2 linked regions of the Caenorhabditis elegans genome follow. The protein of the gene in region 1 purifies or fractionates together with the protein of each later gene. This does not show direct contact. Each region holds a gene or a part of one and is shown on either strand. Other genes may lie near its edges.

Region 1 (8,720 bases):
AGAAAAATTTTATAATAATTTTGAAAAATAAACTCCAAACAGCATTGATCTTTTGGCAAAAATAGGTTTCTTGCTGAAAACAAACAAATTTGTAACTTCTTTTCTAATAGCGGTCACTAGAAAATGAATACACATTAATTTTGTTACGTTTGCGTTGGTGCCGCCTCATATTATCTTGAAATTCAGTCAAAAATATTGGAAAATAAAAACCCTGTTTCATTTCCTTTTCAAAAGTATTTTTGCGGAGTGGATTTTTGATAAGACGTTAATTTTTTGTTAATTTTCACATAAAATTTCAACTGTTTCAGTAAGGTTATAAATAAATGGGTGATTTTTTCATGATGCAAGAACACAAGAATATGTATATGGCCCATTGAAAGTTATTGTAACGCTAACAAGAGTAACTTGTTTCAAAAAGAAAACCAATACTCATTGATTTTAAAATTCTCAACAGATTCGGCTTAGAAGTTTATGGCTCGCCTTTCAAAATGTTAAACTGCTCGAGAAGAACATTTTGTACCAAATTGGATCAAATTGAGCACATGCACACAGAGCATAAGATAAAAAGGGACTCGTTGATGAGAAAATAGAAAAGTGCCAAAAAAAGTGCCGTTGTCGTTTTTGCCGTTTCCTTCTCCCTCTACTCCGTCCAGTGCTAACGAGTTAGGGACGACAAATGCGATTTGAGCTCTCTTTTGCTCTTGCGCGTCCGCTCCGATGCTCTCTTCATCTTCGCTTTTTTGTGTGTATGTGCTTGACAAAAAAAGAGAAGAAAAAGGGCAGTTTAAATGATGATGAACGGAGGACGATTTTATGGAATAAGGTGGTAAAGAGAGGAAGTAAACTGCCAGCGGCGGGTGGAAAGAACAAAAAATTAGCATTTGTGATGAAGGAGAAGGAAAAAGTTTGAAGGAATGCACGAAGATGGATTAGTTTTATGAGTTTTGAAGTTTGGTATATGTGTTTTTTCAGGAACCCCAAGGAGAAATGAATGAGGGAGAAGTGGACTAGGTAATTTGTATTCTGACACGACTCTCCATCTATTTTATAAGGTTGGAAGAAGCAGAAAAACCTTGTAAAACTGAATTTGTGCATCTCAAAACTAGAATTTAGTAAAATTGTAAGGGGAACTGATATTTATGCTCGCTTTTTGATATTTTAGGAATTAATATCACTCCAGGCTTTAAGTCTGAAATAAGCCCAATTTATTGCCCCCGGAAAACGCCCTTCAAAGAAAATAAATGTGGAACTGAAAAAACAGAAGGCCGGGCAGTTTTACTGATGGAAACTGATGCAATGTATGGCCATGGAAAAAATCAAAAAATTTCCGATTTTTTCAGTTTTTTTTTTAATTGTTTTGATGTTTTTCAGAAAAACTCGAATATTGAAAAAGGGAAAATCGAAAAGGGATTTTCGGAGTTTTTTTTCGATGATTCGTTTTGTATGTATTTATCAAAAATATGTCGATTTATTCTCCTGTTATTTTCTTTTAAAGATTTCCTTAGCATGGCGACCACTAAATAAAAAGATCCTACAATCTTCAAAGCACAAGATGAGTCTAATCTTTCGCCAGCAAATCGGAAGATGTCTATCGACACTGAAAGATCTCCATGAAGAAGCACAAGACGACATTGAAAATGTTGTGGAAATCCGGAAAGGACCGATCGATGCTCTATTCGGAACAATCTTCGATATTGTCGACCTCGCAGAGAGAACAATCACTGAATCAAATCGCATTGAGCAACACTCGACAAAATGGAAACTCCGGTTCGATTCCGACTCATCCGAAAAAGAAGTTATGAGAACTTACAAAAAGCAGCACGGTGATTTTGAAATTGAATTGAACAAGACAAAATAAGTACGTTTTCAACTTCACAAGATGTACAAAAAATACGTGGAGTTCAAATTCATATCAATTCTGCTACTACCAATTCCAACACCACAATTCATATGTCAACTCAATCTGTTATTCCCTTATATTCAAGTCAATCTCCAAATCAGCTGATTTTTCAAAGTAACTGTAAAAATTACAATAAATTTACCAACTCTCAACCCAATATCTCTTCAAAAACTAAAAATTCGAATTTTCTCAAACTACAGTAAGCTAAGATTGTAAAAAATGTGCAAATCGGGCAGATTTCACGATGTTATCCGATTTTTTGTGAACTCGAAAACACAAATCCCCTTATTTTTCGATGTTTTTTGTGTTCTCTTCTGCAGCTGCCGTTCCTCGTTATTCGGATGATCTTTTCTAGTTCAAAACATGATTGAAAAACTCGATTCAAGTGGTTTTCCAGCTGCTGATATGACAAAGAACACATTGAATTATAGAACCGAAAACAATCTAAGTAGGCACAAAAACGCCTGTCTGCCTTCCAGGCTACCTACGTCTTCCATAATTGCATGCACAGCACGTGAGCATTTGTCTCATATTTTCTTTGATTTTACAACAAGTTTATTTTTTTGAGACGATAATGGTGATTTAAGCGTGTGAAATTTTTTGATTTGTCAATAATTGACAGCGTGAAACTGTAAACAAAATTCAAAAATTCTTTGTTTTTTAACGTGAAAAAAAGATCCGTGTACTTAATTTGTTCCGACATTCCACGTAACTCTTTAAATAAATCAATATTTATTGATTTATTGATTACCAATGCCCGGACGACTTTCGACAATTGAAGAGAAAACTGAAACTTCCACTGGAGCAATTTCAACAACTTCCAACACAACAAACAGGTTTATCTTTTTTCACTGTTTCTTATTTGTTTCATATTTTGAAACAGTTTTTAATGCAATTATTAATGTTGTAATAGCTACTCGGAAATAATCAGAAAATAAATTATTTCCTGGGTGTGAATCTTAAAATCTCTTCTACAAACTATATAGTTTCCAACTTGCAGTGGCGCAGAAATGGATTCAAAAATGCATCAAGCGGTACGTGCCTGCCAAATCGGAGAAATTCAAACCGTTCGATTTCTGTTGAATGGACATGTTTCGGCTAATGAATTCGATCACGAAGGATGTGGACTTCTTCATTGGGCTGCAATTAATAATAAATTGGATATTATTCAACTGTACGTTTTCAGAAGATGGGATTATTTTTCAAACCATTCAGAGTTTGAAAACTGCAACCATTGAAATATTCAAAATTCTTTTAGTAAATTCCAAGATTTTAAAACGTTATTTGTTTGATTTTGACTTATTTCTGTTCGAACTTTCAGTGCTCCACAATAAGTATTTTCAAAAATGTTAGTAATTTTTCATTTTGTATTTGCAAATTTCCACTGTTTCATTTCCACCATATTATCATCTTAACTTTAATTGTTCCATTAAGCTCAGAATAATTGTTGAATATTAAAAAAAAAACACCATTGGGACTGTCCCATATGTGCACCGTAATTCATTTCTTTTTGAAGCAACTTGTCTAAAAGCGACAAAATAAAATAATTTCGAGTTATTTTTTGTTCTGAGAAGATTAATAATCTTCCAGGCTGCTTTCACATCGCGCTGACATTAATTTAATTGGAGGAAATATGAAATCGACACCTCTTCACTGGGCCTGTTATAATTCACAATTTGGAGCAGTCATGGCTCTTGTCAAGGTACTGTTCTGTTAGTTTGTAAAGGATATTGTAAAGAGTTTGAAGTGGTGATGATTTAATTTATTTCCAACATTGAAAAAAAGTTATCTTGTTAAGTTAAGTTAGAAGAAGATTTTTTTTCTCAGAATGGCGCAGATCCAACAATTAAAAATATAAACGGCGAGACTCCTCTTCACTTGGCTGCCTGCACTGGAAACTTTATTATAATTGCTTATTTGCTCGTAAAATTTGATAATATCAAAGATACGAGAGATAATTTAGGTGAGGTTTTGGGAAAAAAATCTACTGTTTCAATATGCCAATAGATACAGAATGGAATATAGATTACTGATGCTGTGTTTTTCTCTCTCTGAACAGAAATATATTTTCGGACAACACATTCTAAAATTATTTTTTAAATTGACAAAAATTATACACTATTTCATGTTTTTGACATATTGAGCCAAAATCTAAAGTTACAATATGTGTGCGTCGCATCGAATTATTAACCATTTATACGCATTTTACAGTTTTACATACCATAATAAATTCCAGGTCGTTCGGCACTTATGATGGCTGCTGATAAGAGTTTCGGACTATTTCCTATTCGTATATTCACAAAAGTTGATGCATATCTTGACTTCACTGATGATGAGAAGGGGAATACTGCTCTTCATATTTTAGCTGCTCGTCAGAATTTGAAAGGAGTTGTTGAGCTGATTTGTTCTGGAGCAGATGACACGAAAACCGATAACAATGGGGTTTCAGCACGTGATTTGATGGACAACAAATTCCGAAATCTAGTTGACAGTGAGCAGTGTAAAATGTCTTCATAAAATGAAAAAAAGAGTTTTCAGAGCAAGTGACAGCTCGAAATATTTGTGAACTGGGTACAATTTGTGAAAAGGTTACCTCTCGCTGGTTCCTTGGCCAATTTTTTACTGCAACCATTTCAGGTTATTTAGCTTTTTATTTCACCATTAAAGATTGTGAACTTTTCTCACTTTTTTTCAATATATTCTAAAAACTTATTGTATAATATTTCCAGGTGTAATGATTGGTGCAGCAACTGGTCTATATTTTCTCACAAACTTCTGGGTGGTCTTGGGTGGACTTGCTTTGACAGCTTTATTGCTTTTTATTTTGGTACAAAGAAGACAAATGGATCAATTTGGATGTCTTCCAGTCACTTATATCTTTTGGATGGGAATTGCTGAATTTGCATTGTTGTGAGTCTCAAAAAACAATTTGAAACCGTTTGAAACAGTAATAATTTTAAAAACCTCCTAGCTTTAAAGTTAGTTCGCCTATGCGTCTTTGTCTGCATTTGGCGTAATACTTTTCAATAGATGTTTGTAAATTCACTCAGCTTATTAACTTTGAAAATTTGACCAAAAATAACGAAGAATCAGGTATAAGTTGGCAGTAGGCGCAGGTGTAGGCACGAGGCATGAGTAGGACTAATCGGCAAGCCTACAGTCAAAACCTATTTTCACTTCTGGAATTATTTCAACTATTCAATAAAACCAAAAATTCAGAATTTTCAATTCAAATGGATTGGTTCATTGGTCGGTTCTGATTTTTGTCTGCTCAATTTGGGTTATTTCAGCATCGTTTTATTGGATGTAAGTCACAAAATCATAGATTTTCTAAATAAAATTAGTCTGATTACGGTGAAAGTTATATCAAATCTTACATACCAAAAAGTTTCGTAACATTTGTAATACATTATTATTTTTGGGAATTAAAAACTAATCTGTTCGAAAATCTAATAAAACCTATATGAAACAGTATTTTTTTCAGAATGTTTACAACAATTTTAAGAATTGATTACATTGATTTCAGCTTGATCCTAACAAATCCCGGTGTCCTTCCTCGTTCTACAACTCCGTTCAAAGATTTCATCAAAGATCTGGAAGAGAAACAAATCGATAGATACTGTTTTACTTGTTGGATTCCAAAGACTTCATCCTCTCATCATTGCTCTCAATGTGACAAATGTGTCGATGGATTTGATCATCATTGTCCATGGATTCACAAATGTGTCTATCGGAAGAATCTTCGAGCTTTCGTGTTTTTCTGTCTTACAATCTTCATGTTTCACGTGTTCTACGTTCTATTGTTGTTGTACATGATTGGTGCCTCCATGAATGCATCCGGATTCGGTAAGTCAGTTTTAGAACAAGCTACTGCCAAAAATGGTTATAAATATCCAAATTTTTGCATAAATTTAGATAGACTCTGTATTTTGTTTTGTACATTCTCAGTACATTTTCGTAAAACCCATAAAGTTGCCAGAAGAAGGAGGCAAGTTGTTGAATTCGGCTGATTATTATCTGTCAATTTTTGAGGCATTAAATAATTATTTCCAACCAGACTTTTTTTTGACGCGCATTTTCAAAAATCTTGATTTAGAAAACCGGCAAAGTGTAATAAAAGCTCCAAAATTCATACAAATAGGCATCAGGTAGGCGTCTAGGTAGGAAGGCGTCTGAAGAACGTTGCACAAAAAATTGAAAGATTTGTGAAGTTCTGTGCTAACTAGTAAGTTAACGTAGACGGAAAGTTACTATCGGTTTTTAGTTTTACGATGTTAAAATGAGAACATGAAACATATGAAACATGCGATTTCAAATTTCTACTGTTTCAACTAGTTGCTATAAAATCTCGTGTCACGAACACGATAACTTTATTCGGAAATCATTTTTTCAGAACAAACCCTAAACGACCATGGTTTGATGGTAATCAGTCTCATCCTCGCAATCCCTCATGTTTTCGGAGCCGGAGCCATCACTTGTACTCAATTCTCACAAATTTCTCGTCATGTCTCTACCATCGAGATTATTCGGAAACAAAGACTCCAGAGAAATTCTAGTGAAAAGTTTGTAATTATCAAAAAGTTTGATAAATATTTTTGGCGTTTTATTCAGGACCATAACATCGCCAGAACATAATCCATGGGAATACAAACAAAGTGTGAAGACTAGAATTCGAAATGTGTGTAATCTATTGGCATTTGACAAGTTTGGAGATGGAGAAGAAATTGATGAAGGACATGGATCATCTTCATTCGAAACATCGTCTTCATATTTCTAAAACTTCCATTTTTAAATAGACTGTTCGTTAAGTTGTATGATTTAATTGATATTGACTAGAGCATCTTCATAGTTCCAATTTGTCTTGAATTCTTTCTCGAATCTCATTTTTCAAACGAGTTTTTGTATTCCACTTTTGATTTTTTCGTCCATTTTTGTAAAAAATTTTTATGATCGGTCCACTAATAAATGAAACTGATTATTTTCCGCTTATTGCCAACATAGACTTTCATGAAAAAGTTATTCCACTTACATGAGAAATGCGAAACAGTATGCAATATTATTTAAGCATTATGTCTGAAAATTGAAAACGTCTCCACGTACTTACTATAAATTGAAAAACTGATAATTCATCTAAATATTTCATGATTGTTTTCAGTTTTTCAAAAAAAAAATTGAAAGGGCAAAATTATTTTGAGATCCCGCACTAGTGAATAACAAAGAGGCCTAAATTAATTTAGCCTGATAACGTAAAAGTTAAAACACCAAAAATAATTCTTGCAAAATTGAAAAATAATAAAACTTTAGTGAAATTTTGAAGTTATATTCAAGCACAGAAAATCCCCATGTAAACTAAACATTGAATTAAAAATTAGCTATTCATCTGCTGTTAATGCAGGTGAAGCTGTAAAAATTTTTGATTTTTCTCAATTCCATAATTTTTTTGGAATTTTGTATAAATTATCATTTGAGAATAAGGGATTTTTTAGAGTATTTTAGAGTTTGTTCAAGCACAGAAAAACGCTATCAAAACGACTCATGGATTAACACACTAGTTATTCATCTACTGTTAATGCCAATGTTGAAGCTGTGAAAAAATTCTATTTCGATCCGCTTCTAGTATATCTTGCTAAAATTGAACTTTACCAGACCACTTTTAACAAACAAACTAGATCTTATAATATATTCATCAAAACTTTCTACAGTTTCTGCCACAGTAATAGAAAAAATATGGATTTCGATTCCATCTTCTCCAATTGATCATCCTGTGATGTCTTCCCTCACTCAGTAAGAATATAGTTTCAAGAGACACAGAAGGATCGGCGCTCAAGTGGAAACGAGTAGAAATTGATACTCAATGAGAGAGGAGCCCTTGTCGGCGGATCTCTTTGTTCATTGTCTGCGTCTTCTCGTCTTCCACACTCTATCTCTCATTTGTTACGGTCTGCCGCCTTCCGATTTACCACAAAAGACATGATACATGTCGAAATGGTTCATGTCATGATTTGTGGTAGTTAAATTAGAACTAATCGGCATTTCACACCATTTCGATCGACGGTTTCAGCTCCTTTATAATTTTCATAAATTGTGTTCAGAATACTTCATCACTTCCTTCTCCACCTGTGATGAATATTTTATCTTTATCAATGTCTTCTTTCCAAACCTTTTGACATTTTTCCGGGGAAAAAACTTGATAACTCAGCAGCCATTCGCTGAAGCTCTAAATTTTGCCTAAAATCAAAATTTTAAAGTTTATTCTATCTAATTTTTTGAAAAATCTCTGAGAATATGACAAACAAATAATTGTTCTTATAATGATTGCAGTTGTTTGGAGGGACCGACACCGTGCGGGTCTACATTTTATAATCGATCTTGAAGCATGTATCTCTAGCCGTTTTCATAGAAATATATTTACAATTAGTAACGTTGTTCATTAAAAAATGATTTTTCGCAAAACTTATCAGTTTTCTGTCTAGCTTATTTTGAATTTTGGAAAATTCATTTGAAAAAACCAAAAAAGTAAACATATTTTTTTAGGTTACGAAATTCCTGTTTCACTATTTCAACTTTTTGATATAGCCTAGGTAGATATACGATGTTCTGATAGGTAACGTGTAGGCGATGCAGCAGTGTTCAACGCGAGAAAGATCAGAAAAATAGATTAGCCACGTTTGATTGACACCTTCGAATTTTGCGGGGAGTGGGAGAGACTGTCCACGTTGGAGTGATTGGTGGGATATTTAGAAATATGGAGATGGGTGGAAAGGGGGAAGAGTGATGAGTTTCTAATTGGGTCATCAGTTTCTAAAGTTGTTTCAGGATT
Region 2 (5,890 bases), on another chromosome or scaffold:
ACACACCGAAAACATTAAAAATCGGTGGAAAATAAGTAACAAAAAATAAAATAAATAAATTTAAAATCGTGCAAGCGCGCTCCATCGAACAAATCCAATTGGCGGTAATTCGAATAGGAATTAGGTGAAAACTGGTTTTTTTTTAATTTTCAAAAAATCATATAAAATTTAGAAAATTTTTTTGAATTTTTTTATCATGATATTCGGTTATTGTGACCCCATAGGCGTGTTTTAAAGCAATTTCCCCCCACTGGCGCTACTCCACCTAAAAAAATTTCTTTAATTCTTACCGTTCTCTCCTGTCTCGCCTCACAACCAATCGCCACCGCAGCAGCCAAAAATATAAAAATCCAATTCATTCTCCAGCAGCACCACACACACGATATGCTCGCCAACGCAAATTCACTATTCCGGCTGGGTTCGGATCCGACGTTTGAGAGAAGATTTTCGGGACCTTTGCAGTTGCAGCAGGTACTGAAGCAGTTGTTCGGGAGACGGGGCATGGCACCACAGACATGTCAGGTGCTCCGTGACCCTTTGACCTCGTGAAAAAGATAAATATTTTCGCGTTTTCGTGGAGATCAAACCAATTGTTAGGTGCTTTAGAGTTTGATCGTCTTGTATTATTACAGGAACCCAAAATTCCGAAAATGCGCACTGCACAACATATTTGACGCGCAAAATATTTTTTACTGTATCTAGATATTTTGCGCGTCAAATATGTTGCGTGGTACGCATTTTCAGAATTTAGTCGTTCCGTAATAAAAGTGGAATTGCAAAAAAGTTCCAAAAAATAAAAAAATGAAATTTTTTATCATATTTCAGCTTAAAATCCGCCAGGGCCATTATCATTGGAGCGCGCCATGTCGCGTCGATTTACGAGAGATTTTGTTTGCAAATTTCAGTTTTTCAACAAGTTTTCTATATTTTTCGCGTTTTTTTAAGTGAAAATGTGAAATAATTTTATGATTTTTAAAATTTGAAAAAAAAAATTTTTCAACAAAAAAATCAAAGAAACTTGCAAATTTTAGTTTCTTTGATTTTTTTTTTTTGAAATATAATTTATTTCGTGTAAAGTGAACGAAACTTACTGATTTTTCAATTTTTAAAATAATAAAATACCCAAATTTACACGAAAAAACACATTTTAATTTAAAAAAACCGAAGAAAATGAAGAAAACTGGTTTAAAAAACCGAATTTGGCTGCAAAAAAACCCCTCGTAAATCGACATGGCATGGCGCGCTCCAATGAGAATTTTTCTGGCGCGAGTTTGAAAATTGTTTCGCGCTTTCAAGCTGAAATATAAGATTTTTGAAATTTTTTGAATTTTTTTAAAACAAAATATGGGAAATTTGGAGTAATTTGAAAATTTAAAAAATCAAAAAAATGATTTTTTTATTAAAAAAAAAAGTTTTTTTCAGGATTTCCAATGGCGTGCCGGCTGGGGTGTTCTCAAGGCCAATATGCTTTTCGTGTACAATAAAACCGAAGAGGAGACGTCGGCTCCTCCATTTTTACTACTAATTATTGAAGACTGTTTTATCGAATTATGTGATGAGAATAAGATTGGCAAGGATTTCACTTTTGAAATCAAATTCAAATCGTGCGTTTTTTCCGGGTCTCAACACGAAAAATTAATACTAAATTCCAAAAAAAAACTGAATTTTTATCGGTTTTATCGAAAATCGATGAAAAATCGATTGAAAATTCCTAAAATTATCCGATTTTTTTCCAGAACTGCTCGAAGCTTCATCTTCGCCGCCGACTCGTTCAAATCGCTGGGACGTTGGGTTTCGCTGCTCACAATCTCCCCGATCGACTATATACAGCTCTCGAAACAAAGTTTTCATGAGCAAATCGAGCAAACTCAGAAGAAAGCGATGAGGGATTGATTTTTATACATTTTGCACATTTTCACTGTGATATTTTGACTTATTGATTATAAATCATACATTTTTAACGTTTTTTGCTTTGTTTTGCAGCTGGAATTTCCCTGAATTTATCGTTTTTTTCGCAAAAAATCGCGAAATTTCATTAAAAATTTCCAAACGATGCTCCGATATTCCGATGTCGCGCCTTGTTTACCGTAAACTTACACGAGATTATTATTTATTTTTCCGTTCCTGGAGAGAATTTCATCAGAAAAAACGTTTAAAAAGCAGAAAATCTTTGATTTTTTCCAATTTTTCTTAAATATCTGATTATAGGAAACTTGTAAGCTGATATTAATCATATTAATTCCAAGTTTTCATATATTTTAACACGAATTTCCGAATAAAAGTGTATTTTCGGGTTTTACTTTAATTTTCGCGTCCGCAACGACATTATCGCTTCAAAAACTGCATTTTTATCGAATAAAATACTTATATTTTAATTTAAAACTCGAATTTCACAATTTATCGATTTTTTTTCGCAGCCGCAGTGACTCATTATGTACTTACCCCCCCCCCCCCTCGGGTATCCGAAAATAAGCCGTTTTCTATGCATTTTTCCAAACAAAACACTTATTTTTCAGTGAAATGCCGGCATACCACTCAAAATTCGACACTGAACTCAAAGTTTTGCCATTGGGCAACACAAATATGGGAAAACTTCCGATTCGAACCAATTTCAAGGGTCCAGCGCCTCGTAAGTCTTCAAAAATTGATTGAAAAAACCTATATTATATATTAAAATTATTGCAGAAACCAATCAGGATGACATCATCGACGAAGCGCTCACCTACTTCAAGCCGAACATCTTTTTCCGCGAATTTGAGGTTGATTTTCGAGATTTTTCCCTATTAAAATTGAGAAATTTTCAGATCAAAGGTCCCGCGGACCGTACAATGATCTATCTCATCTTCTACATCACCGAGTGCCTCAGAAAATTGCAAAAAGTACGGATTTTGCACGAAAAAAACCTACTTTTTAGATTGAAAAATAAGAAAAAAAGACCCAAACATACCGAATTTCAATGGATATTTTGAACATTCCTACCGAAAACAGATTTTTTTAAGTAGAAAATTTCAAATTCGAAACATTTTCGATTTTCTCTGAAAAAATCCCAAATTCTTTCAATTTTCTCTGAAAAATCCACAAATTTTAAGGTTTTCTCTGAAAAAATCGAATTTTTTTGGTTTTTCCCTGAAAAAAATCTAAAAATTGTTTAATATTCCCTGAAAATTCCAAAATTTTTCTGGTTTTCCCTGAAAAAATCCGAAAATTTTTCGATTTTCACTGAAAAAATCCGAAATTTTTCCGATTTTCTTCGGAGAAATCCAACTTTTTTTTTTCTCAAAATTTTGGAAATTATAAAAAAAAATTCTAGTTACAAAATTCGGTCTTTTCGGGCTATTTTGAGTGAAATAAAGCGTAAAAACATGTTTTTTTTTTGCAAATTTTTTCAAATTTTCAGAGCCCAAACAAGATAGCCGGCCAAAAGGATCTTCACGCCTTGGCTCTCAGTCATTTGCTTCCAATTCCCGGTGAAAATGGATTCCCACTGAACAGCATGTACAAGGCGCCCCAATCGAAACCGGACGAGGACGAAATGCGTGCCTATTTGCAACAAATTCGCCAAGAAATCGGCGCCCGTCTGTGTGATCTCGCGTTCCCGGATCCCCAAGATCGTCCGAGCAAGTGGTGGCTCTGTTTCGCGAGAAGACGATTCATGGACAAGGGGCTCGTTGGACAGGGTGTTAATTTGTGAATTATCGATTAATTATTGTTGTATCTGGCTCAAAATTTTTTCACTTTTCCCATTTTTTTTTCCATGTAATTATATTTATATTGCGTCCAGTTTTACTTTTTGTGCTGCTTTAAAATATTCATTAAAATTCCGATTTCATCATTTTATTACGGTAACGCAACATATTTTGCGCGCGTCAAATATGTTGTGCGCGAAATACGCGAAATCTCTATGCTCTACCGATAATTTGTCTGCTTGGATCCCATCACTGACAACAAAAACGCCACGGTATCGTGTACGACTTCTGGAGCAGTTATCTGGCAACGTGCCAAGTGACTTCGAACCTCTTCGGGAAGTTGGGAGACTGGAAGAGCCTGGAAATTGAGAAAAATTGAAAATTTTAAGATTTTCTCCGAGAAAATTGGAAAATAGTCGAATTTTTTTCAGAAAACCCCAAATATAGGCCTTTTTTATTAGAAAATCGAAAAATTTTCAGGTTTTTTCAAATAAAATCGGGAAAAAAACTATTAATTTCCCGTAATTTTCCAAGATTTCCGTCTTAAAGGCGCACAGATTTGTTCAGATGGGTCTCGGCGCGCAAAAAAGTTTATGGTACTTTTTTTTCTTTTTTCCTGTTAAAAATTGTTTTAAATCAGTTTTTTTGCCGTTTTCCAGTCAGAGAATGAATAAAAATTGATTTAAACAGTTTTTAACAAAAAAATAAAAAAGAAAAACCACCATAAACTTTTTGCGCGCCGAGACCCAGTTGAATTTACCTGTGCGCCTTTAAGAAGGAATTTTAAAATATTGCGAAATTATTTTATTTGAATAATTGCTGATTTTTTATTCAGAAGAGAAGGAAATTTCAATTTTTTTTGTTGGAAAAATAAATAAAATTTTTTTTTTTTGATTTTTCAACACTTACAGCCATTCTTTCCAAATCCTGAGGGCTAAATGAGCCCATCGCTTTGCTCAATGAAGCATCCGGGTCTGTTGCAGAAAGAGCAGTGGTGAGAGAAGCTTTCGCAGATGTTAGAACCGCCAGGTCGACTGGGTTTAGTTGCTGAAATTGATAGTAGTAATTATTATGGAGACGCAGAAAAATCCAGCGTTTGAAATCGATGTGGAAACGCGCTCCACGGCCAATTGGGTCTCGTTAGGGCTTCTGGCCTTCCTCATTAAATTTTTCGCGCTCCATTGACAATCGCTCGCCGGACATGGGAAGTCGTGTACTCCACACGGACAAATACATCAGTTTTAAAACTAAAATCGAGCCGCGACGCGACACGCAACGCGCCGTAAATCTACCCCAGATATGGACTGGCCTAGTTCGGCAAAAAGTTCTTCCATTTAAATTTATGAGGGAAGCCAGAAACCCGTAATTTTGGCGTAAAACTCATTAAAAACAACGAAAACATTAAAAAAAAAGACAAAAAATGCTTGAAAATCGACAAAAAATTGAATTTACAGTTTTCCTGCCGGATACCTAACGAGACCCATGGCTCGGGGGCGGATTGGCCGTGGAGCGCGTTTTCACGCTAATTTCAAAAAGGCTATGGGCTAGCTCACATGAAACTTGTAAACGAAGAATGTCTGCTCGGCCAACGTGTCATTCAAGTTCTCCATCATATTTAGTTGATCTTTCTCCGTACTCGTCAACTCGTGACGTACTTTATCGATTATTTCTATCGATCGATCGTATTGATGAAACAAGTCGCCGACCTCTTTTTGTTGCACTTCATCGCAAAAATAGGCCGTCTGAAAGAAGAAAAACACGAAAATTTGCGGTTTTCGAGCCAAAATTATCGGGTCTCGACACGGAATGTTAATTGCAAAAAGGTGTGCGCCTGTGCGTCTTTAAGATTACTGTAGTTTCAAAATTTGCGGGATTTTTATCGATTTTTCTTATTTTTTCGATAACAATATTTTTATTTATTGAAAAACTAAATCAAAATTTGAGAAAAAAATTGTCGCGTTGAGACCGGGTACCGTATTTTTGGCGCCAAATTTTTGCGTCTGGATAATAATATTTTTGAAAACTAACCCGTTCACAAACGTAAGCCCTCAACCGATCGATTCTCATCGAATCAATAAATCGATTGATTTTCGCTGAAATTATCGGATCAAACGTGGCGGCCAGCCGGATTCTTGAGAGACATGAAGCTGCAGAAGCTGACGACAGGCTTGGCGGAGATTCGTAGTGATTTTGATAGTTTTGGG

Evidence for each region. The genes of interacting proteins can lie anywhere in the genome.
Region 2: the proteins of dhhc-13 (region 1) and arx-5 fractionate together in Caenorhabditis elegans (co-fractionation; one large-scale study listed by BioGRID). This does not show direct contact.

What each region holds. Positions count from the first base shown.
Region 1 is NC_003282.8:5,914,720-5,923,439, forward strand, and holds dhhc-13 (Palmitoyltransferase), read left to right. Parts: upstream 1-2,606; 5' UTR 2,607-2,653; coding exon 2,654-2,736; intron 2,737-2,796; exon of another isoform or gene 2,797-2,820; intron 2,821-2,900; coding exon 2,901-3,074; intron 3,075-3,330; exon of another isoform or gene 3,331-3,351; intron 3,352-3,490; coding exon 3,491-3,602; exon of another isoform or gene 3,603-3,605; intron 3,606-3,727; coding exon 3,728-3,863; intron 3,864-3,933; exon of another isoform or gene 3,934-3,954; intron 3,955-4,063; exon of another isoform or gene 4,064-4,084; intron 4,085-4,136; coding exon 4,137-4,391; intron 4,392-4,438; coding exon 4,439-4,537; intron 4,538-4,629; coding exon 4,630-4,810; intron 4,811-5,119; coding exon 5,120-5,206; intron 5,207-5,426; coding exon 5,427-5,746; intron 5,747-5,889; exon of another isoform or gene 5,890-5,918; intron 5,919-6,129; exon of another isoform or gene 6,130-6,150; intron 6,151-6,293; coding exon 6,294-6,462; intron 6,463-6,511; coding exon 6,512-6,677; 3' UTR 6,678-6,879; downstream 6,880-8,720.
Region 2 is NC_003281.10:12,814,727-12,820,616, reverse strand, and holds arx-5 (putative actin-related protein 2/3 complex subunit 3), read left to right. Parts: upstream 1-2,516; 5' UTR 2,517-2,520; coding exon 2,521-2,629; intron 2,630-2,685; coding exon 2,686-2,759; intron 2,760-2,804; coding exon 2,805-2,879; intron 2,880-3,397; coding exon 3,398-3,691; 3' UTR 3,692-3,828; downstream 3,829-5,890. Other genes in the region: Y37D8A.2 (Putative phospholipase B-like 1), read right to left, coding at 291-359; Y37D8A.25 (PH domain-containing protein), read left to right, coding at 385-471, 1,423-1,604, 1,737-1,893; BE10.4 (DUF148 domain-containing protein), read right to left, coding at 3,907-4,044, 4,596-4,733, 5,240-5,428, 5,715-5,890. UniProt on the Caenorhabditis elegans protein: Functions as a component of the Arp2/3 complex which is involved in regulation of actin polymerization and together with an activating nucleation-promoting factor (NPF) mediates the formation of branched actin networks.